Linked DNA regions of Coturnix japonica. The protein of the gene in region 1 purifies or fractionates together with the protein of each later gene. This does not show direct contact. Links are inferred from orthologs where the notes say so. Each region holds a gene or a part of one and is shown on either strand. Other genes may lie near its edges.

The links.
Region 2: the proteins of EPB41L3 (region 1) and PNN purify together in Homo sapiens (co-immunoprecipitation; 3 studies listed by BioGRID and IntAct, with this or other methods). This does not show direct contact. The link is inferred for Coturnix japonica from reciprocal best matches to the Homo sapiens genes EPB41L3 and PNN.

The regions. Positions count from the first base shown.
Region 1 is NC_029517.1:90,254,182-90,257,927, reverse strand, and holds the start of EPB41L3 (band 4.1-like protein 3), read right to left. Parts: upstream 2,834-3,746; 5' UTR 2,720-2,833; intron 1-2,719. UniProt on the Homo sapiens protein: Tumor suppressor that inhibits cell proliferation and promotes apoptosis. Modulates the activity of protein arginine N-methyltransferases, including PRMT3 and PRMT5.
Region 2 is NC_029520.1:34,113,569-34,117,314, reverse strand, and holds the start of PNN (pinin), read right to left. Parts: upstream 2,340-3,746; 5' UTR 2,239-2,339; coding exon 2,126-2,238; intron 1,980-2,125; coding exon 1,908-1,979; intron 1,165-1,907; coding exon 1,096-1,164; intron 1-1,095. Other genes in the region: TRAPPC6B (trafficking protein particle complex subunit 6B), read left to right, coding at 3,282-3,362, 3,449-3,516. UniProt on the Homo sapiens protein: Transcriptional activator binding to the E-box 1 core sequence of the E-cadherin promoter gene; the core-binding sequence is 5'CAGGTG-3'. Capable of reversing CTBP1-mediated transcription repression.

The sequences.
Region 1 (3,746 bases):
TTGGAGTATAGCACACAGCACACTGATTCATCAGAAGGAGCCAACTGCTTCATGCAATTAAAAACTGAGAGCAACGAACCACTCAAAGGATGCTCAAGCCAGGGATATTCCAGAAGGAACCTGGCTAGATGCTGCCTTCCTCTGCACATTACATCCTCCCACAGAAGTTATGACCAGCCTTGCTGCCGTTCCTCTCCATGACCTTGTTACTTGACTTGTCTTCCAAGCATAAAGACCATGCTAAATTCAGATGCTTTTTAATGGATCACAGGATAATTCAGGCCAGGAGGGACCTCAGGAAGTCTCCAGTCCACCCTCTGGCTCCAAGCTGGATCATCTGAGATCAGATTGGGTTGCTCAGGGATTTGTCTAGCTGGACCATAAAAATCTCCAATAATGGAAACTGCACAGCCACCCTGGGCAGCCTGTGCTGCTGCCTGGCTGTTCTCATGTTGAAAACGTATCTCCTTTCAACCTTTTTGAACTTCTCTCATTTCCACTTTTGCCCTCTGTCTCTTATCCTTCTACTACAAACACTTAGGAGGAGGCAGGATTGCATCATAGAATCATAAAGGTTGGAAAAGACCACTAAGATCATCAAGTCTGATCACCAACCCATTACCATCACTCCCAGTCAGTTCTACTCTTTCAGCCCTTGTAGCTTTGATATTTACCTGCTTATGCAAGCTATACTTTTGTCTTTGATTTAGATTAACAGACTTCAACTTTGCCAAAAATCTAAATACGACATAGAACTAGAGTGAAAAATTAAACTAAGCACAGAATCTGTGGTGGAAATGCTCATCCATGTAATCACACCAGTCTTCCTCTGATATGCACTGGTAATGGCAACGTTCAATTACAGCCCTTCCAAACACCAAAACAGCATCTCTTCACATGGGTGCAGCACAAGAGTCAGGTGTACACATACACTACAAAACAGCTTGAAAGGCAAGCGAGATGCACACTGAAGCAAAACTACAAGGAATGCACTCCAGTAGTTTTCAGACTTAAAGAGCTTTCTGTAGTACATACAGTCAAGATAAATATGCATTATTTACATTCCTGTGTACAAGAGCTATTACTGTCTCAGGCTGATCAAGGCTTCTTAGCACATCAAAGAGTGGCAATCTGAAGCAGCATGCTCACAGATCTCACTGCTGCAGCCACAGAATTACCTTGTACCAGTTAAGCAGAAGGCTTCCTAACCGCACTCCTAGCTACACTGCTGAGGAGTCAAAGATGCCTAAAAGCAACCAAGGAACGAGAGAATTGCAGCAGTGCAACATATGTTCATCCTGTCTGAAAGGTCACACAAAACATGATTAGCGCCATTATCCTCCGGGACTCTGAATATGAATATTGCCTTGAGACCAGGGCTTTCCAGCATGAGCTACAGATCAATAAGAAGGATTATACAGCAATACTCTGGAAATGCTCACAAGTAGAATATCAGTTTTTATCTCAGATTTCTCCAAAGCTGTACCTGAGAAGACAGTCTTATGCTCTAGTTCCATCTTCCAATCTCAGGCTCTTTGCACCCGTACAACACACTGGTGTGGCAGAGCACATACACTCAGAGGACTCAAAAAGAAAACCAAGAGCGTGCAGAAGCTCAACTCAGCTGCAACCTGATGGCGAGCAGCCCACACCCTGCCCCATGCTCACTCCCGCACCTCACTCAGAACAGGGCCACCACAATACAAGACCATACACGGCTTCTCAGCTTCCTCACTCAGACTTAAGCCTGTGTTTAAATAAAGCCATCCCCACACAGGTGAAAGGTGAGGCAAGTTGTTTTCCTTGATTGAATCCTTTAGTAGTAACAAGTCACTCCTACAACCTGTAAGTAGCTCAGAGATAAACCCCAAGGCTTCTAAGCTGCCAACCACCCCCAGCCAGCTCTCGAAGGCAGCTTTCCTCTCATGGACAGTGCTGGCTGAACTCAGACATTTCCAGCTGCCTTTCTGGTGGAGATCTTAGAGCTGATGCATTTGCAGCAAATGTTTTCCCTGCAGCTGCCTAGTCATCTTCAACTGAAAGACCCAAACACCAGAATCTCATCCTCAGGGAGCAACAGTGGTTCCCCACATGATCTGCATTCAAGTAAAGAACGTGATCCTGACAGAGCTCTTTTTCACATATCTGAGTGGAGACTACTTGGGATGGAAATCTTATTCCATAGGAAATTCTGATCCAATATTTAATGCAGATGAATCCTCAGCACACCACCTATAAAAGTTTACACTGCAGGCAACACCAGAGTAAGGACAGTACAATGGACTGCACAGTATTTTTCTGAAAAGCCAGCCAATGAATTCATACTTTTCTATCTGAATTATTTACAGAAACAATTGAATAAGCCAGGAAAGAAGAATTAAAATGTTCTAAGCCACTGCTTCACAAAGTCATTTTATGGTTATCATATGAAGTGACACTATTTCAAATTAATTTGCTGCACGTTAATTCCTTCACCTTTGCCAACAATAAAACAAAATTAGAAATATATATATATATATATATATATATAAATCCACCAAAGAACATGTTGCAATTCAGTAAGCTTTGCCTGTTGCTTCCACACAACCAACATCCCCAAAACAGATCAAGCTTTCATCAAGCCTAGCTGGCAATAAATAGCATTGTTCTTCCTTCCCTCAAGCAAACACTCTTTTTTTCTCTCCAGAAAATTCAAGTTAAACTTATTTTGCAGACTCACCAAAGTTGTCCACATCCCAGGAGGCAGTACCGTGTCAGTCATCGAGTCCATGGTTGTCGCATGGCCGTAGCAATCAGCAGGAAAATGAAAGGGAAAAAGAAGAAAAAAGAGAACACTTGGGATTAAATGAAAAACACTACACTACAGCTTTATGTAAAGGTTGCATGGGATTAAATGGACTGAACACCCCCCAGATTGCAATATATTCTAAGAAGGAAGAAAACAGGCACCGTAGAAATAGCGCAATGATAAAACAACAATTACAGTTTATCAATTATCTCTCAAGGCTGGCATCACTTTGAGATTAAAACAACTCTTCTACTGCACATTTTTTCTCCCTCATCAGACAGCAATAAGCAGACAACATCAGATATGAGATAAGGTATGCTATAATCTGATGCTGCAGATAATTTTAAATCCTTGACAATTAGATGTAAGATTTATTGGCAGGAAGAACAGTCAGAAGTGACCCACACCACAGTGACTGACAATATCCTCAGGGAAGAGGGGACTGATAATTTATTCCCTACAATTAAGTGACTTGAAACCTATTCTACAGCTGTGTATCTTTGCTCAGCTATATATCTGTAAACCATCAAGAACACCCAAGCTGAAATGACCACAATCAGCATCAGCTCTTTCCTACTAACAAAAATCCAAAGAACAAATGTTACAGTTTTCCCAGGCTCAGAATTGATTTCCTTTGGTAACAGCTCCAAAACATTCAACCAGGTTAGTTTACTGTTATTATTACTACTGCTATTATCTCAGAGAGGGACTGCTTTGAAGACAACTTTATAAAATCCCTACTGCTGTAGGTTTACCTAAGCGAATTGCCCATACATGTGTAAGAGAACCAAAATGTGTGTTCTTCTTTGGAATGGAGAAATTGATTGCGTCTGCAAGTTCAGGAGGAGCAAAAGGTCCCAGGGCAGTTGATAGCGAAGGCACTGAAGCCTGCAGCACAGAGGAGGACACTGGGAAGAAAATCCCTGCAACTTTATCAGCATCAGGTTTTGGCTGTCAT
Region 2 (3,746 bases), on another chromosome or scaffold:
ACTATTTGACTTTTTAGCACAGCTTTGGATTTTGTTTCATTTGAGCTTTTCTTTTTCCAGAGTATCTAAAACGTTTATTTGGGTAAGAGAAATATGAGTTTGATTTAGAAGCATCAAGGCATCATAGAATTACTCAGGTTGGAAAAGACCTCAAAGATCATCAAGTCCAGCCTCAGCCTATTCATAGTACCCTAACTCTAAGATATGGAGATTAAGATTTTCTCAAATTCAAGAAGCTATTGAGGTTACCTAGGCAAATACCTGAAAATCAGTTAAGGACAGACAAAGCAATTAGCAGGGACCTGAGCCCTTGGATAACCTGAGGTTTTTAACACATAACAGCTCAGTAATGTATTAAACTTATTCTCAGCTTTTGCTCTGGGGCATAGCAGTTTGCTGCCAGTAAAGCATTTCACAATATATATTTTGTATAAATCAAAAATTCAAAAGCAAGTATTGCTTTTGTCAAGATTTACCACTGCATGTTAAGTACTCAGAAAAATGCAGCTCCCTATGGCCAAAGCCACATCTGATGGATCTGCATCCAGTTGGGAAAGCCTCCAATTTCTGCACAAACTGTCACACAGGAGGTATTAAGATTAATGAAAGGGAAATCCCAGTCACGATTTGTGTCTACTGTTAAACAAGTCTGGGCTAATATTGCAGTCTGCTGTATTAAATTCTGCATAAGTTTTCTGCTTTGCTTAGCATAAGTTTTTTAATCAGGCTTTTAGAATTTGGCATCTAACGCTGTAACTATATTCAGAAAATTGAAGAATACACTACAGCCTGCATCAAATACGCCCACAAAGTTAAAGGAGGAGCTTCGTGCAGAATGGATGAGGAACAAGAAATTCCCTCCCTAAAGGATGAAAAGTGCTCTTCACTACAGCACTTGCTACAGATTTCAACACCTTTGAGTTTTCTGCCCTTCATAAATATACAGAATTATTTAATTCCCCATATGGTTCTCTCCCCCATGATTCCACAGGCAACATAAGCCCTTGAAAGAAAGAAAGAATTATACATTTAAGTATCTCCACTGTGCAAGAATCACAGTAAAAGCAGGGTCTCCACATCCATCTTTCCACCCACCTGCTGGATGCCCCTTCAATATCCCTCTGTTTGGCTGGGGGTCCTCCTCCGCTATCCGAGAATCCACGCCTGAAAGGAAACCACTCGTGATCTCTGAACAAGGCACACTTTTTACTCAATTCTATACTCATTCAACGTTACTGCAGTAATAATGTATTTAAATGCACTGTTTGTGAATCAACCCATTTAAAGTTATTCAGAGGAGCTGCTGCACTCAAGCTACCTCAGTAGGTTCAAGAAGTTTCATTTTCTTAAGTGTTAAGGCCTCAGCAACAATTTGATATTGAAATTTAAAAGAATTAAAGAAACGTCCCATGTACTCAGGTAAGAAGAAACTACTGAACATGAGTCTGTTCTTGATTCTGGCTCTACCATGGAGCTGAGAAATAAAAGAGGGCAGAAAAGGTAAATTCACAAAGGAAATCCCCCTATGTGAGTTTTATGAATCCCGGTGACTTCCATTCTTTCTACTCTCCTTTGAAACACCACCAGTTTCTTAATTACCAAGACAGTGATTTTGCACCACTTCAAAGGAAGGAGGCCCAGGACACCAGAGCGCACCTCCCTTCATTCTGGAGGTCCTCCTTAACTTTAAGGCTAACAGCTGGAATCGCACCAAAAGGCACCAAGATCAAACCGGGCACTGCAGGCACCGCTATGGACCCCCGGGCGCTCCCGCAGGCCTCCCACTTGACTGCGTTGTTCCAGCTCCCGATCCCTTACGGTGAACACACGGATCAAAGCCGGCACACAGAACGCGCAAAGATAACAACCCGGAGTCGCGATAAAGCAGCAGAGCCGCATGTCCTTACCTCAGCAGTAAGCTCCCTCGCCCCCTACCTCCACCAGGGCCTGAGAGGGCCAGCAGTCTGTTCTGCGGGGGCCTGTGAACACAGCACATCGCTCAGCGGCACCGCCCGGCCCATCGCCGCCCTCCCACCCCCCGCGGGGCCGCAACCCGACGGCCCGGGGTGGCGCCGGGGGTGCGGGGGCGGCCTCCTCGAGTGGAGCCCGGTAAGCCGGCCCTCACCTCACATCGTTGGGGTCCCGGCCCGTGAGCTTGCGGATATTCTCATCCACGTGTTTCAGGCTCTCCTTGGCCTTCTCCAGCTGCTCCTGCAGCGCACGCACCGCCACCGCCATCCCGCGCGGCCTAGCCGGGCACGGCGCGAGGCACCGCTGGGTAACGGCGGGACAGGCCCCGCCCGGCAGCCAACACTCGGCTCCGCGAGGGAACGGACGGCGCAGCCAATAGCCCCGCGGCGGGTAACGCCGACAGCCAATAGGCGAGCTGCAAGAGAGAGGGTACGCCCCCGTGGGAAGAATCTCTGCACTCGGCCACCAATCACAAAGCTCAGAGACAGACTGACATCTTTCTTAGCCAATCACCGAGAGCCGCTGCCTGCCAGCTCTGCGAATCACAAAGCGGGAGGGCCAGAGCGACGTCTCTCGTGGCTAACGAGAAGTTACTTCGTCGCTTTGCTGCGGTGGGAGCCAATCACCTTCGAGCTACCACAGCCTCTGTGCCTGACGGACCAATCAGGAGGGGCGTTACAGCGGGCAGCCGCGTTGTACGCTCCCGCGCGGCGTAACGTGATCCCGTGTAACGGGGCAGCACGCGGGGCGCTGCGCTGCGCTGTACTGTACTGTACTGTACTGTGCTGTGTTCGCCCTCCGCTGCCCGCCGTTCTCACTGCACACGGTGCCGTTTTGGCTGCGGCCGCTCAGGCTGCACCCCGCCGGTTTCTCATAGTCTCACAGTCTCGTGCGGGTTGGAAGGGACCTTAGAGATCATCGAGTCCAACCCCCGGGATTCGAGCCTCTGTGTAGCAGAGCGGCACTTCTATCACTTGCGCCACAGGGGGGATTCGAACCCCGGGCCCCAGTGTTGCAAGGCGGCGTCTTTAACCACTGCGCCACCGGGGCACACACCGGTTGCCATCTTACAGAGGCAGAAAATGGGGGTTGAACATAAAGTGCCGCTTTGAAGGCGATGTAAAACAAACACACCGCACATCAGCGCTCTCCCCGCTCTCATACCCGCCCCAGAATCACTCCGCCTCTCCCAGTCCCGGCCCCGAGCCCTCCCGCTCCCGGAAGGGGCGGTGCAGCGCAGCGCAGCGGCTCCCGTTGGCTGCGGGCCGTTGCCGTGACGGCGGGCGGGGGCCGCCCGTAGGGGAGCGGCCATGGCGGACGAGGCGCTGTTCCTGCTGCTGCACAACGAGATGGTGGCGGGGCTGTACCGCGCCGCCGAGCAAGGCGAAGGGGTGAGTGGGGCCGCTGCCCGCCCCAGAGGCCGTCAGGCGGCGGCCGGCCCCGAGGCTGAGGCGGCGGCCGCCCTTGTGTCTTGCAGGAGAACGGCCGCTGCACCACCAAACTGGAGAGCATGGGATTCCGCGTCGGGCAGGGACTGATCGAGAGGTGGGTGTGTAGTTCTGTAATTGGCACGATTTCCCTGTCCTGAGGGCCCCTCTGACCCGTGGGCCCTCTGCGTCCTGGTGCCTCGCTGCTCAGTCTCAGGCTGTGAGGAGAATCCTGAGCTCCCGATGTCATGTTTTCATAGGATCACAGAGTCATTAAAGTTGGAAAAGACCCCTAAGGCCGACCAGTCTATCCGTGAGCTCCCTAACCATGCCCCTCAGTGTCACACC